2 linked regions of the Drosophila melanogaster genome follow. The protein of the gene in region 1 purifies or fractionates together with the protein of each later gene. This does not show direct contact. Each region holds a gene or a part of one and is shown in the gene's direction. Other genes may lie near its edges.

Region 1 (8,457 bases):
GGATAAAGTTCGGCAAGTAACTCGAATTATTTGTCATTAAATAACTTATATAGATAGTAGTAACACATGCAATACTATAAAGTGAAAAGCCCCATTTTAAATTCAAGCAAGATGAGAATGTAATCAAAATAGTAGTGATTGTCCTACAATACCCTATTTCACCAATATTACAAGAAAAAACAAAATCTGTGTTCAAGCAAATAAAACGATTATTAACACTTAAAAGTGTTAATTATGCAATCTCGATTAAAATAAATAATTTTTATTTTCCGTTCTTTTTATGTGAATAAAGTGATCAGCAATGAAGTTGCTACCTCTGGCTTTATTAGCCTTTTTATTAAGACCGAAACCCAATGACGCGGCGCACATTTTGGGCTTGTTTCAACATCCCGGAAAGAGCCACTTTGACTTCTTCCGTCCCATGTTCTTGGCCTTGGCGGAGAGGGGTCACAACATTAGCATGTATAGCTATTTTCCACTGGAGAAACCAGTGGCCAACTACACGGATTACGTCTTTCAAGGAATGCCCTTGCTCACCGATATTGTGGACTTAAGTGTGGGTGAAGTTCAAGTTCAACTATATTTCGTAATTATGTATTCACTTATGAATTTTAGAACTTTGAATCCGAATGGAAGCCCCTGGGACTGCCGTTCAAGGTGCCCACCTACTTTATGCTTCACGATTGGGGTCTGCGATCCTGTAAGGTGGCCCTGAACTCACCCCTCATCACCCAACTGCTCAAGTCCCCCATTCGATATGACGTCATACTCCTGGAACACTTCTCCAACGATTGCATGGCAGCGGTGGCCCACCTATTGAATGCACCTGTAATCGCATTGAGTAGCTGTGCGATAATGCCGTGGCACTACAAACGCATGGGAAGTCCGTTCATTAACCCCATTATGCCCATGAATTTCCTGCCCTACACTGATGAGATGAGTCTGATCGATCGACTGAATAATTTCTTTCATTTCCACACCGTTAATACTCTGTACAAGTGGGTGTCACTTGCCTCGATCCTCAAGTGCACAGTTATCTGAATCGAATTTTCCTTGAACAGCATGATTACCCAACCAGCCACCGATGCCCTGATCGCTGAGAGATTTGGACCCGGTCTGCCGCCCATCAATGAGATCGTGAAGAATACGAGTCTGATGCTGATCAATCAGCATTACGCCCTAACCGGACCACGCCCCTATGCTCCGAATGTGATTGAAGTGGGTGGGCTGCAAGTGGGGCCGATAAAACCACTTCCACAAGTAAGTTGAATCACTTACTGCGGTTTAAGAGGCCAAATGAAATGTTTAAGATCAGTATAGATAATTCACATGAGCTTATAGCTAAAAGAAAATAAATTATCTATGGAACTGTCTTATTTGACCAGATAACCGGTTATCTTTGTTAATCACATAAATGTTTTTTCTGTAGGTCACCGAACTCCTTATCAACTAATTACATTATATTTAAATCGTACCGCATACTTCAAACAAATAAAATAAAAGATAAAATGGGGATTGTAGACATGAGCATTTAATAATTATTTCGATCCCTTAACAGGCGATTCATTTGATTATTTATGCTATTTTGTAATCCGCGATTAGCCACTGTTAATCCAATATGAAAAATGTGACAAAACAGTCGAACTGAAAAAAATACAGTCGCATTTTAATGAGATTACCAAATATTACACAATATTTTTTTGTAGGACAACATTTAATATGTACATATATATAAACCCAGATGTTAAACAAATACTTTTTGTTTCAGCACCTGCTAGATCTTCTGGATCGATCTCCCAATGGAGTAATCTATATCAGCTGGGGCTCCATGGTAAACAGCAATACACTTCCTTCGGGCAAGCGAAGTGCGCTTTTCCAAAGCATTTCCCAACTTAAGGAATACAACTTTGTAATGCGCTGGAAAAGTTTAGAATCTCTGGAAGATAAACAGCCCTCGAACCTCTACACTTTCGACTGGCTGCCACAAAGAGATCTTTTGTGTCACCCAAAGATCAGGGCTTTTATCTCCCATGGCGGACTTTTGGGCACCACGGAGGCGATTCACTGTGGAGTTCCCATGCTGGTGACACCTTTCTACGGAGATCAGTTTCTCAACTCAGGCGCAGTGAAACAAAGAGGTTTCGGAGTTATCGTTGACTTCAGAGACTTCGATTCGAATCACATAACCAGAGGACTTCGTATTATACTTGATAAAAAGTAATGGGTTTCTAAAGAAGCAATCTATTCAGATTTCCTTGATAACTGTTTACTATTAACATTTTTTGATTGTATTATTTTACAGATTCGCGGAAAGAGTTAGACGATCCAGCGAAGCATTTCGCCAGCGTCCCATTCCCCCTATCAAATTGGCCACCTGGTGGATTGAGCATGTCATAAAGTATGGGGGAGCTCCACATATCCAAAGTGAAGCCAGACACATAAACTGGATCGTCTACAATTCCATCGATGTTCTCCTGTTCTGGCTGGGAATCTTATTTCTACTGATTGTCGCCCTGCGGAAGCTCATAAAGATATTCAAAACAGCTTTTTGTCGGGGGAAAATCTCTAGAGATACTAAGACAAAGACGCAATAAATGTTTATTTGGTTCAATGAACTTGAGATTTAGTCAGAGAAATTAATGAATGTCAGGAAAATGGGTCGCATGTCAAAAAGCGTATTCCGAACAAAATTATATTGTATAAATATGTTACTGAGACAACGATTTTGCTTAATTTATTCGTAATTAAAAACATATATAATTAATGTTACATAGCTCAGCTTTTTGTGAATGGAAAGGTCAGCAAACCAAAACTGATAATGAAAACGGCTTTCACTTTCAAATTTATACAATATTATCAGCTCTATTATTAACAGTGTCGTTTTGTTTGTAGCAATTACATTTTTGTAACCGAATTAGTATTTTTTCGAAATATTAAAAGAGCTTGCTAACATGGAAAATTTTAAAGATTCCTAAGAAATGTCTATTCTTGTCTATTGTTCATATATGTATGGTATGTACATATGTACAATATGTACCTTCCGTAAACCGAAAACAAGCCCGTACGATGAATTGTAAACAAGCGGAGCCTTGGGGCAAAACACGCATACATCGGCTGATAATAAATCGGCAGACTTGTGCTTGTCTTGATAGACTTTCTCTACATCCGGTAGTTGAGTCTCGTGTGCACTAGGGCATCTACACTCTCCCCAATTTTCATTGTTTTAAAATTCTTACGAGAAAGCCCGATAAAAACTCAGCAAGTTTAGGCGTTGTTTATAAACCAAAAAGAATGCAAAAACTTGTTTTCACTTTCATTTGAAATATAAATGACGGCTGTTACTATTAATAAATTAAACAAATTTGATTAAAAACCCAATCAACTTATATAGTTTTGAAATTTTTGCAAAAGTGCTTTTTTATATACAAAACTGGAATCCTAGGGTTTTATAAAATATTAATTTTATTTTAGAAGCCATGATAACAGTTTGGCTACAATATAGCCAGATTGCCAATACCGCCGAAGACTGCGATTGATTTCCGATCGCTGACTGAGCATTTTCGGCTGCGGACTCGAGCGTTGACCGAAAAGCTTTTCATTCGGATGTAGTCTCCGAATTTAGTCAGTCGCTTGTCGGCAGTCTTACAAGTAAGTAAGAGTGGAAGGTGAGCCAGAACAGGATTTATGTTCGAAAGCGACGACTCCGCGTTTTTTGGATAATATTGTGTGTGTATCCAGTTCAGCGGTTCAATTGAATTCCGGATGAAAGACCCTCACCAGGCGATAATTGTGAATATATTAGCGGGTGCAGTGCCGTTTGTGATGCAATTGCAGTTGCTTTTGTTGTGCTTGTGTTTTCCTTTGCTGCTTTCGTCCGCATTCTTTACATAATTTCCCTGCATTTCTCGCATCCGCGACATGCGCATTGCCGCCCACCGCCCCGCTCAAGGTCGCTCGAAAATACTGAAAAGCCAAGAACCCAAGAGTCAACAAGTGTTTAAGTTTCTGCACAAGGTGCAACGCTAAGGATAATCTGTTCTTATGCAAATACCATTTCTAAATTCAATTTCCGAATTTTGGATACCAATACATTTCTTAAAAAGCTATATATTAAAAAAATCAGCATTGACCTTAATGTGTAAAATGTACATCCGTCATATTTCTGTCTCATTTTCTTGTACAATTTTAAGCCCTTTTTAAGTTGTTCTATAGTTATAATTACACATGTCACGAATAGCTAAATTTGTATACCAAGTGATCTTAATTGAGTATTTGACGAGAAGTTTCAATTAATTATTCGTGATTAATTTAAAATAAAATGTTGAATTTATTTCACTTGCCGTAGGGTACAATGTGGTCGCCGCGGGTTGCCCTACTTTTCCTGGCCCTAGCACTTAGCCAACCGGACGAGTTGGTGGAGGCCGCTGGTCCGCTGAAGGTGCTGGGTCTTTTTCCCCATCCCGGAGTTAGCCACTTCCACTTCTTCCACCCCATCATGAAGGGTCTGGCCGAGGCGGGTCATGACGTGAGCGTGGTTTCCCACTTCCCGGACAAGCATCCGGTTGCCCACTACAAGGATTTCCCCCTCACCGGAATGGACAAGCTCACGAACAGTGTTGATCTCAAGGTGAGTGAAAAGGGGAATCCCATGTACACACATATCTACGTGTCGTAAACCTATCTATTGTTTCGTTTATTTATTGTAACCTAAATGATTGTATTCATTGAAAAAATGTACTCAGAATAGTCATAAATCTGAGAAATACTTAGCTATATATTCAGAGTAACTTGACTTACTATGATTTACTAGGCATTGTTTTAAACATTCTATTCTTCTTTTAGTTTTTCGAGAAGCGCACATTCTACAGTCACTTCCAGGAGTTCTTCCTGCTGTACGACTGGGGCAAACAGACATGCAACCTGACGCTCCGTTCGGAAGCACTGCAGCAGATCCTCAGGCGTCCGGGACGCTTTGATGTGATCATCATGGAGCAATTCAACACTGACTGCATGATGGGAGTGGCCCACCAGCTCCAGGCGCCGGTGATCGCCTTGAGCAGCTGTGTGATGATGCCCTGGCACTACGAGCGAATGGGAGCTCCTTTGATACCCTCTCACATCCCGGCGCTCTTCATGGCCCAGTCGCAGCACATGAACTTTGGGGGACGACTGGCCAATTGGTTCAGCACCCACGCCTTAAATTGGATGTACAAGTGGGTCTCACAATTTCTTTAAGAACTCCATAACATCTCCAATTATATTAATGTTTTCGGTCGCAGATTACTATCGGTTCCCGCTGCCGACGCCATGGTTCAGTACAAATTCGGCCATGACGTGCCTTCGGTGGGCGAGCTGGTGAAGAACACATCCATGTTCTTTGTGAACCAGCACTACTCGCTGTCTGGACCCAAGGTAACGCCGCCCAATGTCATCGAGCTGGGTGGCATCCACATCCAGAAATCGAAGCCTCTGCCTGCCGATCTGCAGCGCATTCTGGACAATGCTGAGGAAGGAGTGATCCTGATTAGTTGGGGATCAATGATCCGGGCGAATTCCCTGTCGGCGGCGAAAAGGGATGGCATTATTCGGGCGGTGGCTCGATTAAAGCAGAAGGTTATCTGGAAATGGGAAAACGAAACACTGCCTAACCAGCCACCCAACATGCACATTATGAAGTGGTTGCCACAACGCGATATCCTCTGCCATCCCAACGTCAAGGTGTTCATGTCCCACGGCGGACTCATGGGCACCTCGGAGGCAGCTTACTGTGGAGTCCCAGTGGTTGCGACGCCCATGTATGGCGATCAGTTTGTCAATACGGCCGCTTTGGTCGAGCGAGGCATGGGAACTATCCTGAATTTCGAGGATATAGGCGAAAACACGGTGATGAGGGCACTAAAGAAGGCTTTGGACAAAAAGTGAGAGTACCATGTCATGCACTGTTTTAGCCGAAACTAAATGTACTTGATTTGCAGGTTCCACGATGCTGCCAAAGTAGTCTCCCACTCGTTCCACCACCGCCCACAGCAGGCCCTGCATACAGCCATTTGGTGGGTGGAGCATGTGGCCCACACTGGCGGAGCTCCTCTGTTGAAGCCCAGTGCCGTCGAGATGTCACGATTCGTTTACTACTCCCTGGATGTCTATGCCGTGTTGGCCCTCGTCCTGGGCAGCATCATTGCCAGTTGGGTGTGGCTCCTTCGACTCTGTTGCGGATCCAGTGCCGCCCAGAAGACTAAGAAGGATTAGCTCGACTCATCCCTGCACAGCTTCGTTTGTGGTCTATGTGATATTTTATATGTTCTGTGTAAGACATTTTTAATTCTAAAGACGCCTCCCCCACGGACTGTATCTAGATGTAATCCTAGCGACGCCAAATTAATTTAATGTTTGATACTATTGGGATTTACCCGATTAAAACGAACGTAGTTTTCGAATATTGTATCTAGTACGGGAATATTATTAAAATAATGTTATAATGTTGTAATGAACAACTGCAAGGAACAACTTATTTTTAAATGAATGGAAATGAACATATTAGAAGAAATATAATATCTGAAAATTGTTTCTAGTACGGAAATAAATAAAGTTTTTAAAATATTTCACTCTTTTTCAATGCCGTGCGCATCAGTAATGTTCAAATGCTCGGAAATTCGTAGATGAAATTCCCTATGTATTTATTTCTAGCCAAGAGCACTTACATGTTGCGATACTTTTTAAGTTCCCCCTAAAAGATTGAATTATGTATGTGTGTATGTATGTAAATATAAGTATATGTATGCTTTCGGCGCCTAATTGAGCTTTTTTACTCGCCGGCGTCAGTTGATGCTCATCTTCCGACCGTTCCGGATCTAGCTCTATCTCCCCGTGTGAGTGAAACGCCGGAGAATATTATTTTTGTTTGCTAATTGTAAAATGAAAAAAATAATCGCATTTGTTAAATTTAGAAGTGCATTCCACAGCATGTAAAACTCATATCATCACGAAAATCGATTTGCACCGCTGACTCGACAAGAACTTGACCCTTTCCCCCGGTTTTCCAGCGCAATGTGTGGTTGTTGGAAGGTTTTCTGCCTGCTGGCGCTACTTTCCCTGGTCGCTTTCAGCGATTCCCTGCGAATTCTGGGTCTGTTTCCGCACCCGGCCATCAGTCACTTCAAGTTCTTTCACCCAATCATGCGCGGATTGGCCGAGGCCGGTCACAGCGTGGATGTCATCAGTCCATTCGAGGACAAGGACCCTCCAAACGGATACAAGGACCACCTGCTGCCGCCCTCCACCTTGACAGACACTATTAGCTTAGAGGTGCGTTGTTCAAAGCCATAATGAGATGGCATACCCATAAAAAAAGGGTACATAAAGGGGTCATAACTTAAATGATGAGTGAGTGCTGGTGTTATTATATTTTAGGTGATACGAACTTGAAATGTGTAAGCGTAACCCCAGATGTACTATTATACAATAGTATTATATTCTGAGCTTATCTCAGATTTTAACCTTTTCTTTTAACCTATACTTAAATTAAGAAACCCACTTTTTCTATCGGTTTTACCAGGACTTCGAACGGCCCTACAGCTTCCTATTTCACTATGTAGAGTTCTTTATCCTGCACAAAATGGGAAGAGAGGACTGCAATACCACACTGCACAGCAGAGCCCTAACTGAGATCCTTAAGAATCCTCCTGGCTACTACGATGTAATTTTACTGGAGCAATTCAATACTGACTGTGCGATGAGCGTGGCCCATGTTTTCCAAGCTCCGGTCATTGGAATGAGCAGCTGTGCCCTGATGCCATGGCATTATGAACGATTTGGAGCCCCTCTGATCCCATCGTATATATCAGCATTGTTCCAGGGACAATCCCAGGAGATGTCCTTTGCGGGACGATTGGGCAACTGGATTACTGTGCACTCCCTCAACTTGCTGTATAAGTAAGTAGTCTATATGGGATTGGGGGCTTCGAACACATTCATACATTGATCTCGTCTAGAATGTTTACAGTTCCCGCCGGAAACGCCTTGATTCGCCAAAGATTCGGTCCTGGACTGCCGTCCACGGAGGACTTGGTGAGGAATACTTCTCTAATGCTGGTCAACCAGCACTTTTCGCTCAGTGGGCCAAAGCCTTTGCCCCCAAACGTCATCGAAGTGGGTGGTGTACATATAAGTCCACCGAAACCGCTGCCCTCGGATCTTCAGAAAATACTGGATAACGCACCCAAAGGAGTCATCCTAATTAGCTGGGGCTCTCAGCTGAAAGCGTGTTCTCTTTCCGCTGCTCGGAGAGATGGAATCGTTAAAGCGATTGGAAGATTGGAGCAGGAGGTCATCTGGAAGTATGAAAATGACACGCTGCCCAATAAGCCACCAAATCTGCACATCAGGAAGTGGCTGCCTCAGCGAGACATCCTCGCTCATCCAAATCTAAAGGTATTTATGTCCCACGGTGGCTTAATG
Region 2 (9,376 bases), on another chromosome or scaffold:
GCTGACTGCTCCACATTGAGTCACATTACAAACAAAGCGAATTCGCAACGCAGAATGTCTAATCAGAAACACACATAGACACAAACGCGCAGATAAGCGCATTTTTCAGCATGTCACATGCTGGGTGACCTGACCTCCACTCCATGCTGCTCCAAACCCATACTATACCATAGCATCTGGCGGCACGTGGACACTTTGAGGGGGGAAAACAATTGTGCCTTTGTGCTCGTACTTGTACTTGTGCTGTGTTTTATTGCCTGCAACTAACGAAAGTTAGCAATCAGCACTTGGAACCCATTTATAAGTGCCCGCCCACTTCCTGCCTCCCGTTGATAACAAGTACTTACGTAGTATGTATATGGACATTGTATTGTCGTATGGCAATTTGTTTATTGCCCGATGGCAGAGCGACTGTACATCTCTCGGACTTCATGACAACACACTGCTCGAAAAACTGGGTACTAGACAGCCAGATGGTTACGAGGTGTTTTTTTGCGTACCTAGGGATAATTACATTTGACTTGACTTTGATAAGGGCACAACTACCTGCTGAGCTGCGATTTGCGCTAATTGCTGGAGGGATTTCCTAATCAGTGAAAAGGGATCACCAAGGGTGCAGGTCAAGGGTCCGTAATCTCAAGATTGAAAAGCAGATGAAGCAGAGGGAATTTATATAATTGATACTTAATGGAACCTACCTTATCTTGTTATAAAAAGAAGGAATGTTGAAAGGTTATATTCCGCTGAAAAACAAACACCTGTCGTCCTTTTTTCTTTGTAATCCACATCTGACTATATTCTTATTATTTGTTATTCCTTACCAATTCATCTTCTAATCAACTTTCTTGATCTTATTTCTTCCACAAATGAAATACAGATCAGTCTAAACCAACGACGAAATTTGGAGACGAGCCGGACCTCCTGTTCAAGCGAGCGCAGGGCCGGATTAGTCTGATCAGTGCTGGAGCTGGAGCCGCCCAGGCTGGCCAAGCTGCCCAACAACCATCACTGCATTCAAGCCAACAACAGTTCGCCAACATTCAACTAGACGCCACGCTCAATGACTGCGAAAGTGGCTATGTGCCCACCGTGGGCCGCTGGGGCTCCGAATGGCCGAGTTGACTCGCCGTTGCCACCAGTCACCGACGGGAGGATGGGGGAGTGGCCTCTCCGGATGAGGATGAAGAGGCCACTGCCGCCGCCGCTGCCCACGATCCGTTGCTCCCGGCGGATCAGCAGCTGGCGGATGCGATGGTGCGCGGAATGGGATTGGGATTGACTACGACGCGATCTGATTTATCCGCAACTGAGCACCCAACTGCACATGGCACTGGCGCCATTCGTCGCACACCCTCCACCTCCAGCGAGGAGGAGGAAGAGGAGGAGGACCTCGAGGACCACGAGCTGGTGCCTTCGCCCGATCTGACATCGGTGGATAGATCGGAGCGTTACTCCGACATCAGGCAGCTGTTGGCCAGACAGCAGCCCGTCGCAGCTGCTCTGGAGGGCATCTCCGGCGCTCAATGGATAGTGGGCGACGGCTATGACCTAGAGGCCTTCAATCAGGTAAACGGAGTGTGGCCCCTGGGTCATCCGCTGCCGCTGCCCGACTGGTCGAGCTCGGAGTCCGCTGGCAAGGGCACCCTGATCTTCGACAATGTCTGGCAGTATGAGGAGCTGAACGGAATAGTGGAGACCACGCTGCAGCGAATGCTGGAGGAGACGCACTACAATACGGTCAACCTCTTCGTTGACTTCTATCGCAGCTTTAAGCGCACGCGTCGCTCCGATCTGCGTAGCTTCTTTCAGTTCTACGATGTGCCCATCAACAGACGCCATCACATGTGCGTCTCGCTGGCGTTCGAAATCATGGCCAGGATGGTGCAGATGTTCCCGGTGCTGGCCAACTACTTGTACGTTGTGTCCTGCGAGGAGCAGGTGATGGACTGCAACGACTACGTTCAGTTGGACGAGGAGTGCGGCCTTAATTCGGTGGACGCGGGTGTGGAGAAGGAGCACGTCATGGTCGCCATGCGCATCGCCATCGGCGATCGACGGGGTGTGATGATCCTGGACCCAGGTTACCATGTCAGCCGAGCGGTGACTGTTATGCAGGATCAGAGCTATCCGCACACTGGTGAGTTGTAATCTCCGCTTAGCCTATTGTAATACATATATACTGATGGATGCAATATGTTTCTAGGCTGGTTCACCCAATCCAAGGAGCCGCATCTGCAGCGTGATTATTGCTATGCCTACAGTCAGCAGAATGGGAAATTCGTGGAGTGGAAGGAGCGCGAGATCCGTGGCGAGGATACCAGCTACAAGACATCGCTGATCTACGTGGCCCAAGAGTACATCACGGCCATCGACGTGACCGTGCGCCGCAATCTGGTGTACAACTTCCGATCGCTACTCTCCCGCGATGCCAAGGGTCAGGTCTATGCGGGCATCTACTTCCCGCTGGTGGCCAATGGGCAGGAGGCCTACCTCACCATCTTCTACGACGGACCCAATGAGCAGCGAGTGCGGACGAAGCTGATGTTCAGCGCGTTTAAAGTGGGCAAGGGAAAGGTAAGGATCACTGATAGCTATAGCCAATGGTTACCCATTACTAACCCAGTTATTATCACCCATCAGCTGCCGGACTATGTGGGTCAACATCTTAGCAGGCTGGCGCCGCAATTGAAGATACCGCTGCCGGAATTGACCGAACTGTGCAAATCCCTGGCCGAGGTGGTCACCGACCAGAGCTTCATCAGCCAGGTGCTGGCCATAAACGATGACATCGGCAACATGTCCGTGGAGAATTGACAGTTAAAGGAGCCTAAGGATGTCGCTGCTACGGAAACGGAAACGAAGATGGAGGAACAGGCGATAAAAGACATTGACAACGCAGCTGCAACTTAGAGTTCCGAACCTATTTGAATACTTTGAATACTTTGTCCTTTCCACAGTAATATTCTTTTTAGTAGCATATAGGCACCTCTTACACCAGCACACACGATTCAAGTATATATTCAATTTAGTCTAGTATATATTTCAAAATATTTATTCACCTATAAACACGACAACACGCTCTATATGGTAATCCCAACTGAATTATTTAATCGAAAGCGAAACGAAATTTTATTCAAAATATTTAAAAGAAATGCGCAAAGTTTAGACTTCAATGTTTCGCTTAGGTTCTTCTAATTTCAAACTATATATATACTTATGCGCAACTATATAATGGCAAAATTAGTTATAACTGGTATCAAGGCAAAACATAAATTGTAATTGTTGTACGAACATATTTCCGTTTAAACACTTAAATGCACTGTACTATTTCGGTTCAATAAATAAATCAGCTAGCAAAAGAAAGAAGGTATTTTGTTGGGAGACTTAAAACATAATTTTACTTGAACTTTAACTAACATGAAAAGATTAAAGGTGTATTATTGCCTTAAATTTGAATTTCGATATTTTTATGGCAGTGATATCGATTAGTTTGGTAACAGTAGCTTAACATAGAATAGACATGTTACTGTTAATAAGCTTAGCTCAACATTTAGGTATTTTTTGCACACGCAAACTCTGTTTCTCTGTAATAAAAACATTTGTTTAAAAACCTCAGGTTTCTTATGATTTACAAATGAATAAGGACAAAATAAAGAAAAATGCATACTGACGGCAGATATCGATGATTACATCAACAATCGATATTTTGAAACAGAGAAAGTGCAGCCCTGGTGCCATCGATGTATATCCACCTTGGATTTTCGCTTGTCTGCAGTTATTTCAATTAAGTTGTTTCAAATCAGCGTTTTTGTGAGTGCACACTAAGGTAACAACACGCCGACCGACCCGCTTAACCATTGCATAACCACGTAATTGTACAATATCAGCTGTTTTTCTGCGTGATCAGCCGGCAAGTGGGTAAAATTCACCTGTTGACCAGCGGCAATAAGCCAAAACAAAACAACAACAATCGTGGATCAAGTTCTTGGCGGAAAGGCGCGCAATTAAAACCTAACGTTCAGTTCGCTTTTGAATTTCTCGCCGAGCGGTTGTGGCGAAAATAAGGGCCCGCTGGAAAAACCGGTTTTCAAACACCAGCGATTGATCCTCTTCGAAAACGTGAAAGAAAACAAAAAGACGAGGAAGCGCCGCCGCAGCCTTTAATTGAAAAAAAGGGTGTCAATATTAGCATAGAAATCGAGGCACAGGTGCATTTTCGTCTGCGTCAGCCAAATTGAAGGTAAAATTGAAAAGCCCTCTGCAAGGGCAACAACAATAGAAAAAGAAAGTTAACCATATGCAGCCAAATTAAAAACGACCGCGGCAACAACAGTAAAACTGCTAAGCTTTTGCGTTTTGTTGACGGAAGTCGAAACTCTTGACAGCACGTTCGTGGTGTCATGCGTACACACAGAAAAAATGGAATTACTTTATGTGAAAAATGAAAAATTCATACAAAACCTATTTCTAATTTGTAGTGAAGTTCTTATCTTTTAAGTGCAATCTATTATAAAAGATAAAGCAATTAAGAGAATTTCAAACAACCTTCACTCAAGAAAAATAATTCTATTTCCTTAACTTTCTTAAAATGGAAAACCATTCTGCGCAGTACAATTTGTAAATATTTTTATATTTTACACCAATACTAAAGAGTTTTTCGCAGTGTACTATGCTAGGTCGTCCGTACAGATATTTCCCCGCTGCCCCCGCAAGAAGAGCCCAAAGAAACCGACCCTAGTTGTTGCTGTTTAGCGCCTCAGTCATTTTCAGCTCTGGCCCCAAATTCACTATTTTGGCCCCGTTTATTGGCTTTGGCTCGAAGCTCGGCTCTTCAACTTTCATTCCGCCGCTGTTTGGGTTTTTAATTAGCATTTTACGAGCACACCTAAGCCAGTTCTCTCGCTGTCTCCCAATAAACGCGCTCAACTATCTTCTGTCTAATTAATTTAATTGTTTCCCCGCCCGATTAAAAATTAAGATTCCAGTGCAGCGCTCAAAGTGCAGGTGGCAAATATGCACTGCAAATATCGGTGGCCAAACAATCGCGTTAGCTTTATAAGCCCGGCTAACCAACGCTGGAAATTGCTGGGCAAATAAGAAAAAACTGAGGGAAAGAGGCAACAACTCAAGCTATTCGACGGCCAATGGGGTCAAGTCGATTTCAGAACACGCTCTCTGATAAATATCATTAAAAAGTTTATTAATTATTAGACTTCTATCCCCAAAAATGGGGTTTCCTGGTGAAAATTCTGAGATTTCAAACATCATTCTTGTTACTCTGTCGAATTAGGATTAGTGCGTTAAAACAGCACTTTTGTAAAAGCCTTTTTAATTGATAGCAAAGATCATTCTACAAAAAGTTCGAGCTTTATAATTAAACCACATTTTTAAGTGATTAGTTACTCTCTACTGTTACGCCAACTTGATAGTATAAAGGCATGATAATTGTAGAAGCTCGACTATTCGCAGCTGAATCGTGACACGAATCAATCTCTGGCAAGTATATATGGCCAACACACCTAGAATTCCAAACGAATATGGCCAACAGATGTACCCGCTGGCACTCGGATCGCGAAATCTTGCTGACTCAGTTGAAGAGTTTCGCAAAGTGCACTCGAGGCGAATTTACCCGCCAATATTGATAATGTTGCCGGCTAATGGCTAATGTCTGTGACGAACCAGGATCGGTTTTCGTTATCAGCCGGCGCACTTTGCCCGATTTCTTATCAAAACCCGTATTCCCTTTGCAGAGTTCCGGAGAGACGGCGATCCGATCCGATAAGAGCGTATAATGTTGGGAACTTTGCTGTGGATTTTCTTCGTCGGCCTGCTGCTGTGTGCGTTCCTCTTTTCGAAGACCACCAAGGAGTTCCCGAAGTCCTGGTTCGAGTGGAAGACTGAGTTTCGGTATCAGTACCTGGGAATCGTTGGGCTCGTCCACGATGCCCAGTATAAGGCACGGGATCGAGTGGGTAAGTCAATTTGCTAGCCGATGCTTATTCCACGATCACTAATTGTTGCCATTATCCATTAAGCACTTTATAAACAACCGGACCGCATTGCTGTCATCACCGGAGGCAATCGCGGCATCGGACTGCGGATCGTGGAGAAGCTGCTGGCCTGCGACATGACTGTCGTCATGGGTGAGTTGACCAATCTCCGCCCAACAACTTGTTTCAGGCCTATTCCTATCCATAAGTCGGCGATCTGCTTATGAATTCCACAAACATTTAACCGTGCTGCAAGTGCACGTGCTCGGCAAGCTAAAATCGAACATCGAATAAACGATCGTCGAAATGCAGATCCATTCCCACCCTTGTCAATGCGATACAGAAATCATGACCCATTCTCCTGATTTCATTATCTAACCAAGTCGCGTAAAAGTCTCGATTTTCGGGAAAGACAAGCGATAAGAGTTCATTGACTGGTCGGAGAAAAGAATTCTAAATTTCAATGAAAAGGGTCACAGTTATCAATAATTATTTTGTATTTTCTCGTTAACATTTTTGAAAATGGCATTTTTTGTTGCTTTTCCAATTTCTTGCTTTAATACGTTTACTTACAATTTCACTGCATATTTTAGTCTCTAAGAAAATTCATTTATTAAGAAATCATTTTTTTTTTTAAATATATTTAATTTTATTGTTAGTGCTAGTTAAAATAATAAACATTTTAATCATTTAACAGTCAACTGTTATTTTCTACATTGAACTTATGTAAAATGTATAGATGTAAAAACCAGAGCTTGAAGTGCGCTATACAGGCGCTAGGTGTCGCTTATATTGCTTATATTTTGTGTAAAATAGGGTAGATTAGAAAACACTCATAAAAAAGTGTTTTAAAGGATATTTATTAATTAAGTTCTGTCCTCTCAGCAATTTTTGTCAGTGGCTCACTTTAATTTATGCATTTATTGCAGGCGTTCGTGATCCCAAAATTGCCGAAACCGCAGTTGCATCGATAGTCGACTTGAATGCTACCAAGGGCAAGCTCATCTGCGAGCAACTGGATGTTGGGGATCTGAAATCCGTAAAGGCATTTGCTCAGCTCATCAAGGAGCGGTATTCAAAAGTGGATTTGTTGCTGAACAATGCTGGCATCATGTTTGCGCCCTTCAAACTAACCGCCGATGGCTACGAGTCGCACTTTGCCATCAACTTCCTGGGACACTTTCTGCTCACCCACCTGCTTCTGCCTCAATTGAGGGCGGCAGGCAAGGAGGGAAGGAACTCCAGGATCGTGAACGTCAGCTCCTGCGTGAATCTCATTGGACGCATCAACTATAAGGACATTAACGGAACGTACGTTTGAGTAATTGTCGCCTAAGTTCCTTATTTACTAGGTTTTACTGCTTGCAGAAAACACTATTACCCGGGAACCGCCTACAGTCAGTCAAAGCTTGCTCAGATCTTGTTCACCCGCCATCTGCAGACACTGCTGGATGCAGAAAAGTCGCACGTGCAGGTCAATGTGGTGCATCCGGGCATTGTGGACACGGATCTGTTCGAGCACTCGGCCACCACATCGGTGCCCATTTTCAAGAAGCTATTCTTCAAGACTCCGGAAAGGGGATCCCGCACGGTGGTCTTCGCGGCCATTGATCCCTCCATCGAGGGTCAGGGTGGTACTTACCTCTCCAACGGCGGAAAGGGTCCTTTCCATCCGGATGCCAAGAAGCCGGCAAAGTGCGAGCAGCTTTTCCAGTTCTCCTGCGACCTGTTGAAAATCCAGCAGTACGGAAATGGCGAATACTAAATGAACTCCACACTCAGTCTATCTCACATTCCTCCTACTGGTGCAACGTACTTTTCTAGATACCGTCAGCTTTTTTGTAAATCGATTTCTTTTGTATAAAAACATTTTTATATAGAACTGCAGCTGGTGTTTTGTGTTCAGGATCTGCTGATGCTAATCTGGTCAAATTGCTGTGCTAGGTTTTAATTAACTTGTCTGCGCTTGATTGCCATCGTGGGGCTAGGGAATGCAATTAAAAGAGCTGCAAGAAACATTTATTTGAAAATGCACTCAGCAGTTGGCGGCGGCAGCTTGAAAGGTGACAACAACAACAACAACCACGTCATATCTGCTGTATGTCAAATTTTCGAAAAAGCAAACAATTTAATTTTGTGCGCCTCCTCAAACAATGAGCGATTAACATTCAACATTTTGGAGGAATTTTAATCGACTTCAGTTAAGGGGACAGGAGTATGGGGGTTCCAGGAGAGCGGTACGGAGACGGAGGAACTCAGGTAGGTAGGTGTATCATCTCGAAAAACAACTGCGAAGCAACTACAACTCGACTGTCACTTAAGCGAACTGAACGCTTAAAAGCGAACGACATGATGGCTGCAAAAAAAAAAACAATCTCATATTTAATGCATATCCAAAAAAGACTCTATCGCTATATGAAGAGATAGACCCGGCGATAACTCAATGTGTGAAGCTGCCGATGCGGTGGGCGCTGTCATCAATCAAAGCTCCAGTGGACGAAGACGGCCCAGATTCCCAGGCTGTCTTCGATGCGGAGTGGAGTACCGAATGAACCCATCTTCTGCGGCTTCTTTCATCGGTTGCATGCCTCGCGAGTATTAGCCGCTTGATTGGATTTTGGGAGTAGGGATAAGCAAATCGCAGAAATGAAAAAAGTTTCTCAATTTAAGACCAACGATCTCTTTTATAAAATTAGATGTTCTCTAATTAAAATTATAATTAAATTTTTAAATACTCTCACAGATTAAGGAATCTCCATTTTAATCAGACAGATTATTTTTTTGAATTTATTTGCCATACTCTTAGACTTTATTCCACTTACTCGAGCACCCATTGACCATTTCTGGTTGGCTGCTCAATGGCCAGCCATTCTGGCATTCCCCTTTCAACAAGATTCTTGGCTGGGTCCGGCTTCAGATTTAGTTTTCAATTCAATTTCGGTGGCATCTCCGGCTACGGCTGCCACAATCCAATTAACCTTTTGACATTTCTCGACAGGCAGACAGCGCCAAGACCAAGACTTCTTAGCCACTTGGCAATGGCTAATGACCACGCGTAAATCAAATAAACCTGGCCACAGTTGCCGGTTTATGCGGATGCAACCGATCTTGCAGTCCGCAGTGCACCGGCGGTAATTAAAACACTCAACATGCCTCACCTGACAAGCTCAAACGATCCGCCGGCAGCTGCTGCACCGAAAGAAAATATCAATTTGGTTGATCATAAATCCAATGATTAGCTTGTGTGGATAATTTTGCTGATTAATATGTGTAACATATTTATATAAATCGTTATAGTTATGGTTATTACTTATCCAAAGTATTGACCATTATTCTGTTGCAGACTCAATTAAATAATGAATTCATGTATTAACGATCATTTTTTT

The links. The genes of interacting proteins can lie anywhere in the genome.
Region 2: the proteins of Ugt36D1 (region 1) and CG11200 purify together in Drosophila melanogaster (affinity purification with mass spectrometry, with the first as the bait; one large-scale study listed by BioGRID). This does not show direct contact.

The regions. Positions count from the first base shown.
Region 1 is NT_033779.5:18,819,955-18,828,411, forward strand, and holds Ugt36D1 (UDP-glycosyltransferase family 36 member D1), read left to right. Parts: upstream 1-3,593; 5' UTR 3,594-3,726; exon of another isoform or gene 3,727-3,789; intron 3,790-4,345; 5' UTR 4,346-4,351; coding exon 4,352-4,627; intron 4,628-4,842; coding exon 4,843-5,213; intron 5,214-5,279; coding exon 5,280-5,918; intron 5,919-5,975; coding exon 5,976-6,249; 3' UTR 6,250-6,762; downstream 6,763-8,457. Other genes in the region: Ugt36F1 (UDP-glycosyltransferase family 36 member F1), read left to right, coding at 302-556, 616-998, 1,062-1,260, 1,769-2,217, 2,303-2,594; Ugt36E1 (UDP-glycosyltransferase family 36 member E1), read left to right, coding at 7,048-7,305, 7,556-7,932, 7,992-8,457.
Region 2 is NT_033778.4:20,303,011-20,312,386, reverse strand, and holds CG11200 (uncharacterized protein), read left to right. Parts: upstream 1-3,715; 5' UTR 3,716-3,826; intron 3,827-3,887; 5' UTR 3,888-4,240; intron 4,241-5,750; 5' UTR 5,751-5,791; coding exon 5,792-5,972; intron 5,973-6,035; coding exon 6,036-6,143; intron 6,144-6,919; coding exon 6,920-7,301; intron 7,302-7,358; coding exon 7,359-7,755; 3' UTR 7,756-7,870; downstream 7,871-9,376. Other genes in the region: CG13868 (uncharacterized protein), read left to right, coding at 878-1,117, 1,163-2,137, 2,204-2,574, 2,641-2,814.